2 linked regions of the Drosophila melanogaster genome follow. The protein of the gene in region 1 interacts with the protein of each later gene in a pairwise test. Each region holds a gene or a part of one and is shown in the gene's direction. Other genes may lie near its edges.

Region 1 (4,463 bases):
TGGCAGTGGAGGAGCCAGCGGTGGAAGCACCGGAAACAGCAACGGTTACTTGGACAGCAGCTCGGAGTTCTATGGCAGTTACGCGGGCAGGAATCGATTCCACGATGGTTATCCACCGGAATTTACGCCCTATGATGCTCAATCCTTCCAGTCGATGGGCCCCCAGCCCACGGCCATGGATCAGTGGGGAGCAGCCCATGCCCACCAGCATCCGGCAGCGTATATGAGCACCTTGGGTCTGGATAAGGGCCTGCTGGGTGGCTATACGACGCAGGGCGGAGTGCCGTGCTTCACGGGATCGGGTCCCATTCAACTGTGGCAATTCCTGCTCGAATTGCTGCTGGACAAGACGTGTCAGAGTTTCATTTCGTGGACCGGCGATGGCTGGGAGTTCAAGCTAACAGATCCTGATGAGGTAAATCCATTTGTAATATAACTATTATTGAATTCCTAACTAACATATATCTATTTTGATCAGGTGGCTCGTCGTTGGGGAATTCGCAAAAACAAACCGAAGATGAACTACGAGAAGCTGAGTCGCGGTCTGCGCTACTATTATGACAAAAACATCATCCACAAGACGGCAGGCAAACGATATGTCTACCGCTTTGTCTGTGATCTCCAGAATCTAGTTGGGTAAGTAGTCGACAGATTGAAGACGAATTATCGAATTCTTATTAAAAGCAATTAATTTCATTTACAGGCACACACCCGAGGAGCTGGTGGCCAAGTATGATCTTAAGATTGAGAAAAAAGATGTGGATTAGCAGCGGAGCAGCGGAGAAGCTGCCTAAAACGGGAACAGCTCCAGGAGATCTGCGCCCAGCCACGGATTGTACTCAACCAACCGCAAAATACTTTCGAGCGTTATTGTTTACCAAGCGTGATGTTAGCTTTTAAGCAGCTACCCCCGATCTGCGATCTTGCAACGAGATTAAAGTGTTGGCCAACCCCTAAGTACCCAAAGTCCTGACTCCCCCCCCCCCCACACACACAAAAAACACAAACAAAAAGAAAACCCCCCACCCACCAACCTGTCAAACCGATTTGCTTGTAATTACCGTGTAAAAATTAGACTTTTAAATTAATTTGAAATTAATTTAAAATACATCAGATTTAGTTGTAAGCCGATCTATAGCAAGAGAACCAGTTGAAGATAAACCGAATTAAATTTGAAATTCTGTGTGCAATGCGATGATATTTCTTCGTTCTCACATAGTCTGTAGAAGATGTCAGCTGCAAGGATCGAACGTTGATAGAGGCCATAAAGCATGTGTCCCCCAAAAGTGATATTAGAGCGCAACATTTTGTTATACGTACATAATCATTTTACCCGCACGGGGCACCACAAACATTTCAAAATCATGCATGTATATAGCGTTGAAGATGTGAATGGCATATAAGTAGGTCTCTAGTATTTATGTATGTCTAAATTGTAATCTGTGCTACTGGTACAACTAAGTTTTCCACTCCACAAAAAGCCCCTTTTATTTCTGTACTTCTGTGCGCTTCCGTGCGATCCCAAAAGTTTTAAACGTAAAACGGCACAATAGCTTATCATGTATGTACATATATGATGAGCCCTTGTTATCGTCTGCTATCTGTATACTTATAGGCTAATCCTAGATACATAGGATCCATAGTTTCCCTAGTGCGTTAATCGACAGTTCAAGAAGTGTTTATTACCTAGTATGTGTGTGTATAGCTATTAACTACTTAAGTCTAGCTCGTAGATGCATAGCCACGTATTACACCCATAAATATAACGTTATATTGATTACATAGATACACATACATTTGTAGAGCAATTCTAAAATATTGTATTTATACAAGCGTACATCGTAATATTAAAGCTAAAATTAACATTGCTAAGATAAAAACAATAAAAGAAAGCCAATATGAAAAAAATACAAACGAAATCTTAGTTCTCTTTGGAAAATATATCAAGGTGGTCAAAATATCAAGTATTTCTCTTATCAGTTGATTTTGTTCCAAATTCGAATTAACTTTATAGACGGTTGTGTTTTTTCAAAATGCTTCGTTATACGGCACGGATTTTGAATGGGATTTACCCACTTATGCCAAGGCAAGTATTAAAACGTTCCGCACACCAGGTGCCCGAGAAGCTGAAAAAAGTTGAGACGGACAAGGACCCGGAATTCTCGGAAATGGTTCTTTATTATTATCACAAGGCCGCGCAGACTATGGAGCCTGCATTGCTCAAGGAAATGGAAAAGTATCCGCATATGAAGCCGGAGGAGCGTCAGGCTCGTGTCACCGCTATACTGAATCTGCTTGGGAGCGTCTCCACCTCGGTGGAGGTTAATTTTCCCATTGTCCGCAAAAACGGCACCTACGAGATCATCAGCGGTTATCGTTCGCATCATGTACGCCATCGATTGCCTCTCAAGGGCGGTAAGTGTGGTTTTATCTCATCTATAGGCGTATTCTTAAGCATCGGATCTCCTACAGGAATCCGATACGCTCTGGACGTGAACGAGAGCGAAGTTAAAGCCCTTGCCGCCATTATGACGTTCAAGTGCGCTTGCGTGAATGTACCTTATGGTGGATCTAAGGGCGGCATTTGTATCGATCCCAAGAAGTATACAGTGGATGAGCTGCAGACGATCACACGGCGATACACGATGGAGTTGCTCAAGCGTAATATGATTGGTCCCGGCATCGATGTACCGGCGCCCGATGTGAACACTGGTCCGCGTGAGATGAGCTGGATTGTTGATCAGTACCAGAAGACATTTGGCTACAAGGATATCAATTCATCGGCTATTGTCACCGGGAAGCCCGTACACAACGGCGGCATTAATGGTCGACATTCGGCCACGGGCAGAGGCGTTTGGAAGGCGGGCGATCTCTTTCTGAAGGATAAGGAATGGATGGATCTGCTCAAGTGGAAGACGGGATGGAAGGACAAGACGGTCATAGTGCAGGGATTTGGCAATGTGGGCTCCTTTGCCGCTAAGTATGTGCACGAGGCGGGCGCCAAAGTCATCGGAATAAAAGAGTTTGATGTTTCTCTGGTTAATAAGGACGGCATAGATATTAATGTAAGTGGCTCTTCACATTTTCTAGGTAATTTTATGAAAAAAAAACCCATTACGTTATAGGATCTTTTTGAATACACTGAGGAAAAGAAGACTATTAAAGGATATCCAAAAGCTCAGGAGTCTAAGGAGGACTTGTTGGTAGCCGAAACCGATATCCTTATGCCGTGTGCCACCCAAAAAGTGATAACCACCGACAATGCCAAAGACATCAAGGCCAAGCTGATCCTGGAAGGCGCCAACGGGCCGACCACACCATCTGGCGAGAAAATCCTATTGGATAAGGGTGTCCTCCTAGTTCCCGATCTCTATTGCAATGCGGGCGGCGTAACAGTATCCTACTTTGAGTACCTCAAAAACATTAACCACGTGTCATATGGCAAAATGAACTCTAAATCTACATCCGAGCTTATTATCGAACTGATGAACTCCATCAATGAGTCTTTGCATGAATGCCCCGATAGTCAACTAGTATGTCCATCCTTACCCTTAAGTAGTATAGTATAGTAAATCCCTTACTTTTCTCCTTTAGCCGAACATATGTCCCAATAAGAAACTTAAGAGGATACAACAATGCACCACAGAGGCGGATATCGTGGACTCGGCTCTCCAAACAGTTATGGAATCTGCAGCACGTGGCATCAAGGAGATGGCCCACAAATTTGAATTGTGTAACGATCTGCGGAGGGCCGCCTACGTTTGGTCTTCATTCAAAATTTTCCAAGCCATGGAAAGCTCCGGAATTTCCCAACAGTAGTGGTTTACCCTCAAGAACAAAAGAAATTCACAGTTTTTCATTGGTTAATTTTTAATTCTTAAGTTGAATAAAAGAGTTACTATTTAATTAAAACATAAAATATGCCTAATTTAAATCAACTTACAACCTATATTGGCATAAATATTGGGCTTTGATACACTTGGTATGAATCTAGTTAAATATTTATCTATTTAAGTATGAAATATACGCCACATACGCCTTGACATACAATTCATATCTTATTTAGAGTTTAGACAGAGAGTTTAGAGTTTAGTGATTAGACAAACATATTGCAACTTTTTAAACACTACGAAAGCAAGCATACAAACACGAATATTCTGCTTGATTTTCGTTACTAAAGTCTCCACTTTTATAAGGTGGAACTCCGTTTTGGGTTAGCTACTGAAGAAAGCATTCACCATGGAGGAAATCAAGAAGTTTGACAAGCTTGCCTTCCTGGAAAGCTACCTGCTGAAGCACAAGGAATTGGGCAAGCGACAGCGCGAGTACAAGAAGATCCTGTCCAGCAAACTCAAGACCCGCAAGGAGACCATCATCGAGGCCAGCTTTGAGACGGCCATCGATCAGCTGGAGGAGGAGAAAAACGATCTGCGTGCCCAGATCTGGGTGGCCAGTGGTACGAC
Region 2 (3,192 bases), 7.0 Mb from region 1:
AAATGCCTCCTCCGGTTGGGAACTTGGAATGGATGGCAGCATTTTTGGTCACGAATTGGGAGATGAGGGCAATTTGTTGGGACAGGAGGTTTCCAATAGCGCTATTAACTTTGGACATCAAGTGTCCCAGGAAGCGGTAAGTTAAACAAGAACAGAAGCAATTTAAAATTCTTCAAATATTTTTCAATTCTTTGTAGGAAGAGGCAGCCAGTGCAGAACTCAAAGCCATGGCAAGCCAATCTGCCAATCAATCCAGTAAGGTATGTACATATATCTTTTACAATGATAAATATGTAGGTGCATATTCCACAATCGAATGTTACTTTTGTTCTTCGCAGAAATCTGTCAGTAAGCGTGATTTAACAAGTAGCAACGAGAATCCTTCGGTTACCTGTGCTTGCACCTGTTCCACCGATGGCGCTGCTTCCAAAGTGGGAAATAAGGTAGCAGAGTCGGCCGGAAAGGCAGCTCATGATGTAGCCGGCGGTGCTGGAAATGTGGCCTCGAGTGTTGCTGGTGCTGCTGGCACTATTGCCCACGATGCTGCAGGTGCTGCATCTAGTGTTGCAAGTGATGCTGGACACATTTTCCACGACGCCGGCAAGGTTGGAGGTGACATTGGAAATGCTGCTGGAAATGTCGCTGGAAGTGCAGCAAATGCTGCTGGAAATGTGGCCTCGAGTGTTGCTGGTGCTGCTGGCACTATTGCCCACGATGCTGCAGGTGCTGCATCTAGTGTTGCAAGTGATGCTGGACACATTTTCCACGACGCCGGCAAGGTTGGAGGTGATATTGGAAGTGCTGCTGGAAATGTCGCTGGAGATGCATCAAATGCTGCTGGAGATGTTGCGCATGATGCTGCAAATGCTGCTGGAAGTGTCGCTGGAAGTGCGGCAAATGCTGCTGGAGATGTTGCAAATGCCGCTGGAAATGTAGCTGGGGATGCAGCAAATGCTGCTGGAGATGTTGCGCATGCAGCTGGAAATGCGGCCGGAGATGTTGCAAATGCCGCCGGAAATGTTGCTGGAAATGCATCAAATGCTGCTGGAGATGTTGCAAGTGCTGCTGGAAATGTTGCTGGAAGTGTTGCTAATGCTGCTGGAAATGTAGCTGGAGATGCAGCAAATGCTGCTGGTGATGTTGCAAATGCCGCTGGAAATGTCGCTGGAGATGTTGCAAATGCCGCTGGAAATGTCGCTGGAGATGTTGCAAATGCTGCTGGAAATGTCGCTGGAGATGTTGCAAATGCCGCTGGAAACGTAGCTGGAGATGTAGCTAATGCTGCTGGAAATGTTGCACATGATGCAAGCAACATTTTCCATTCCATATTTTAGAGTTTCTCTCTACTTTTCTACTCATTTGTCCTAATAAATGAACGAGCAAATTAATGACCCATACACTTGTCATACTTTAAGCACTAAATCTCTAGAAAATCCATTTACATTTCTGTTTTGACTTCTGAACGCTTGCAGTCGATTTATTTTTAGCTTTCTGTGACTAGGACCTACTTGAGACTGTCGTTTATAGATTAAATCACTTTATAGATACCGTAAGGAAAACCCTGAAACTAAATCAAATGAGCCATCAATCAGAATCGAAACTTACCGCCAAACAGTTGGGAATCAAGAAACACTCATGTGTGATTCGTTATTATTGGCGGCGTCAAAGAAGTCGTTAACTCCCACATAAGCCAAACGATAAGAATTGCCTATAAATGTAGTGTTGCTAATAGAAGGGACTCAGTAATTCTCTGATATTACGAAAAGCAATAACATGCAGTCTTTTACAATTCTAACCCTTTTCACCATCGTTTTGATGGTCCAAAATTCAAGAGCTGGAACTCTCAGCATTGGGTCCCTGATGGGAGATGTGTCCCAAGTGGCTGTTGCTGGGGAGAAGGTCATCCATCAACTGGAAAACGCTGTGGCCAGCTCTCAATCGGATTTTGTCCAGCCAACCACTTTGAACATTCTAAGCGACATGGGAAACGCCTTGGGTGATCTGGCTGTATTCTACTGTATTTATATTTGTTTGATGTTTACCTAAAATATTTAATATTCTTGCAGAACGCCCTTACTAGTTTAAGAGTGGATAACGATTATATGCAACCCGAGGCCACCAATCTCTTGGGCAATGTTCTGGGTGGAGTGGGCACTGGTCTTGGAGATTTGGCTGTAAGTAACAGATCTGGAAAGTCCGTTGGAAACTTCCAAGAATAAGCTCATTCTTTTCTGCTCATAGAATGCCATTACCAGTCTTAGTGTTCAGATGACGAACGCACCTCAGGCTCGCAGTCTTTCGGTATGTGAAGTTTTAAAACTTATAATATTGAATTAATAAAATATTCTACATTTTTTTAGTCCAATGGTGCTTCTATTATAGCCAAAGGAGGAGTAAGCTTCGACGAATCTCATGATTTCCATATGAGTTATACTAATTAAACTTGATTTGCAGGCCGTGAGTGCGAAGACTATTGCCGCTGCTGCAGATGCAGCTGCCCCTTATATAAAGCAGCTAAATGCTGGCCTAGGCGATCTGGCTGTAAGTGGTCCTTAAGAACAATTGTTAATCTGATGTGTAACGAATTGTAATACCCCCTCACAGAATGCCCTCACCAACCTCTGAAGAACTTTGGAGCAGTTCAATTAACAAATAAATATTCAATCGCGCAAAGAGCTTAGTGAGTGCGTCTTTTGTGCTCCCATTTTGGGCAGAGTTCATCAACAAGTTGGGCATCAATTAGTGTTGGGTTGTTTTGAAATCCAAGAAGAGTAAACAAGGTCGGATTCCAGAATCAGAAATGCGTGCATCTGCTTCTAGCTCGATCTCCAAAGGGGGTTATATACTCGTATTCAGAATGGAAGAGGGGTCAAATGATACGAGGTGAATCGAAGTCGGAACACGTGATTGCCAACAACATTAGGGGCTCAAGTTTCCAAAAAAAAAAAAAAATGGAATAAAATCCATCAGTAGAAGGAGGAAGCGCCATGCACACATGCCGGTTTTTGAATAATTTTTATTATGACAAGTATTTAGGTTGCCTTTGTTCCTCGAACAGAAGCGAATTAGGTCATCTCGAGGGGAATGGGAATCATACGGAATATGGTGGTACCCCAACTCCGGAAGACCCTGCTCCCTGCTCCTCGAGGCCTGCTATTAAGTCACTTTATCGAGCGGCAAATGTCTGTTTAG

The links.
Region 2: the proteins of bb8 (region 1) and CG18404 interact in a two-hybrid assay, tested with the Drosophila melanogaster proteins (one large-scale study listed by BioGRID).

What each region holds. Positions count from the first base shown.
Region 1 is NT_033777.3:23,287,669-23,292,131, reverse strand, and holds bb8 (big bubble 8), read left to right. Parts: upstream 1-1,942; 5' UTR 1,943-2,033; coding exon 2,034-2,415; intron 2,416-2,472; coding exon 2,473-3,065; intron 3,066-3,125; coding exon 3,126-3,533; intron 3,534-3,594; coding exon 3,595-3,819; 3' UTR 3,820-3,915; downstream 3,916-4,463. Other genes in the region: pnt (pointed), read left to right, coding at 1-415, 479-636, 704-767; wam (wampa), read left to right, coding at 4,240-4,463.
Region 2 is NT_033777.3:30,251,419-30,254,610, forward strand, and holds CG18404 (uncharacterized protein), read left to right. Parts: upstream 1-1,763; 5' UTR 1,764-1,773; coding exon 1,774-2,007; intron 2,008-2,066; coding exon 2,067-2,174; intron 2,175-2,241; coding exon 2,242-2,301; intron 2,302-2,360; coding exon 2,361-2,393; intron 2,394-2,454; coding exon 2,455-2,541; intron 2,542-2,604; coding exon 2,605-2,625; 3' UTR 2,626-2,679; downstream 2,680-3,192. Other genes in the region: CG9682 (uncharacterized protein), read left to right, coding at 1-136, 198-260, 339-1,334.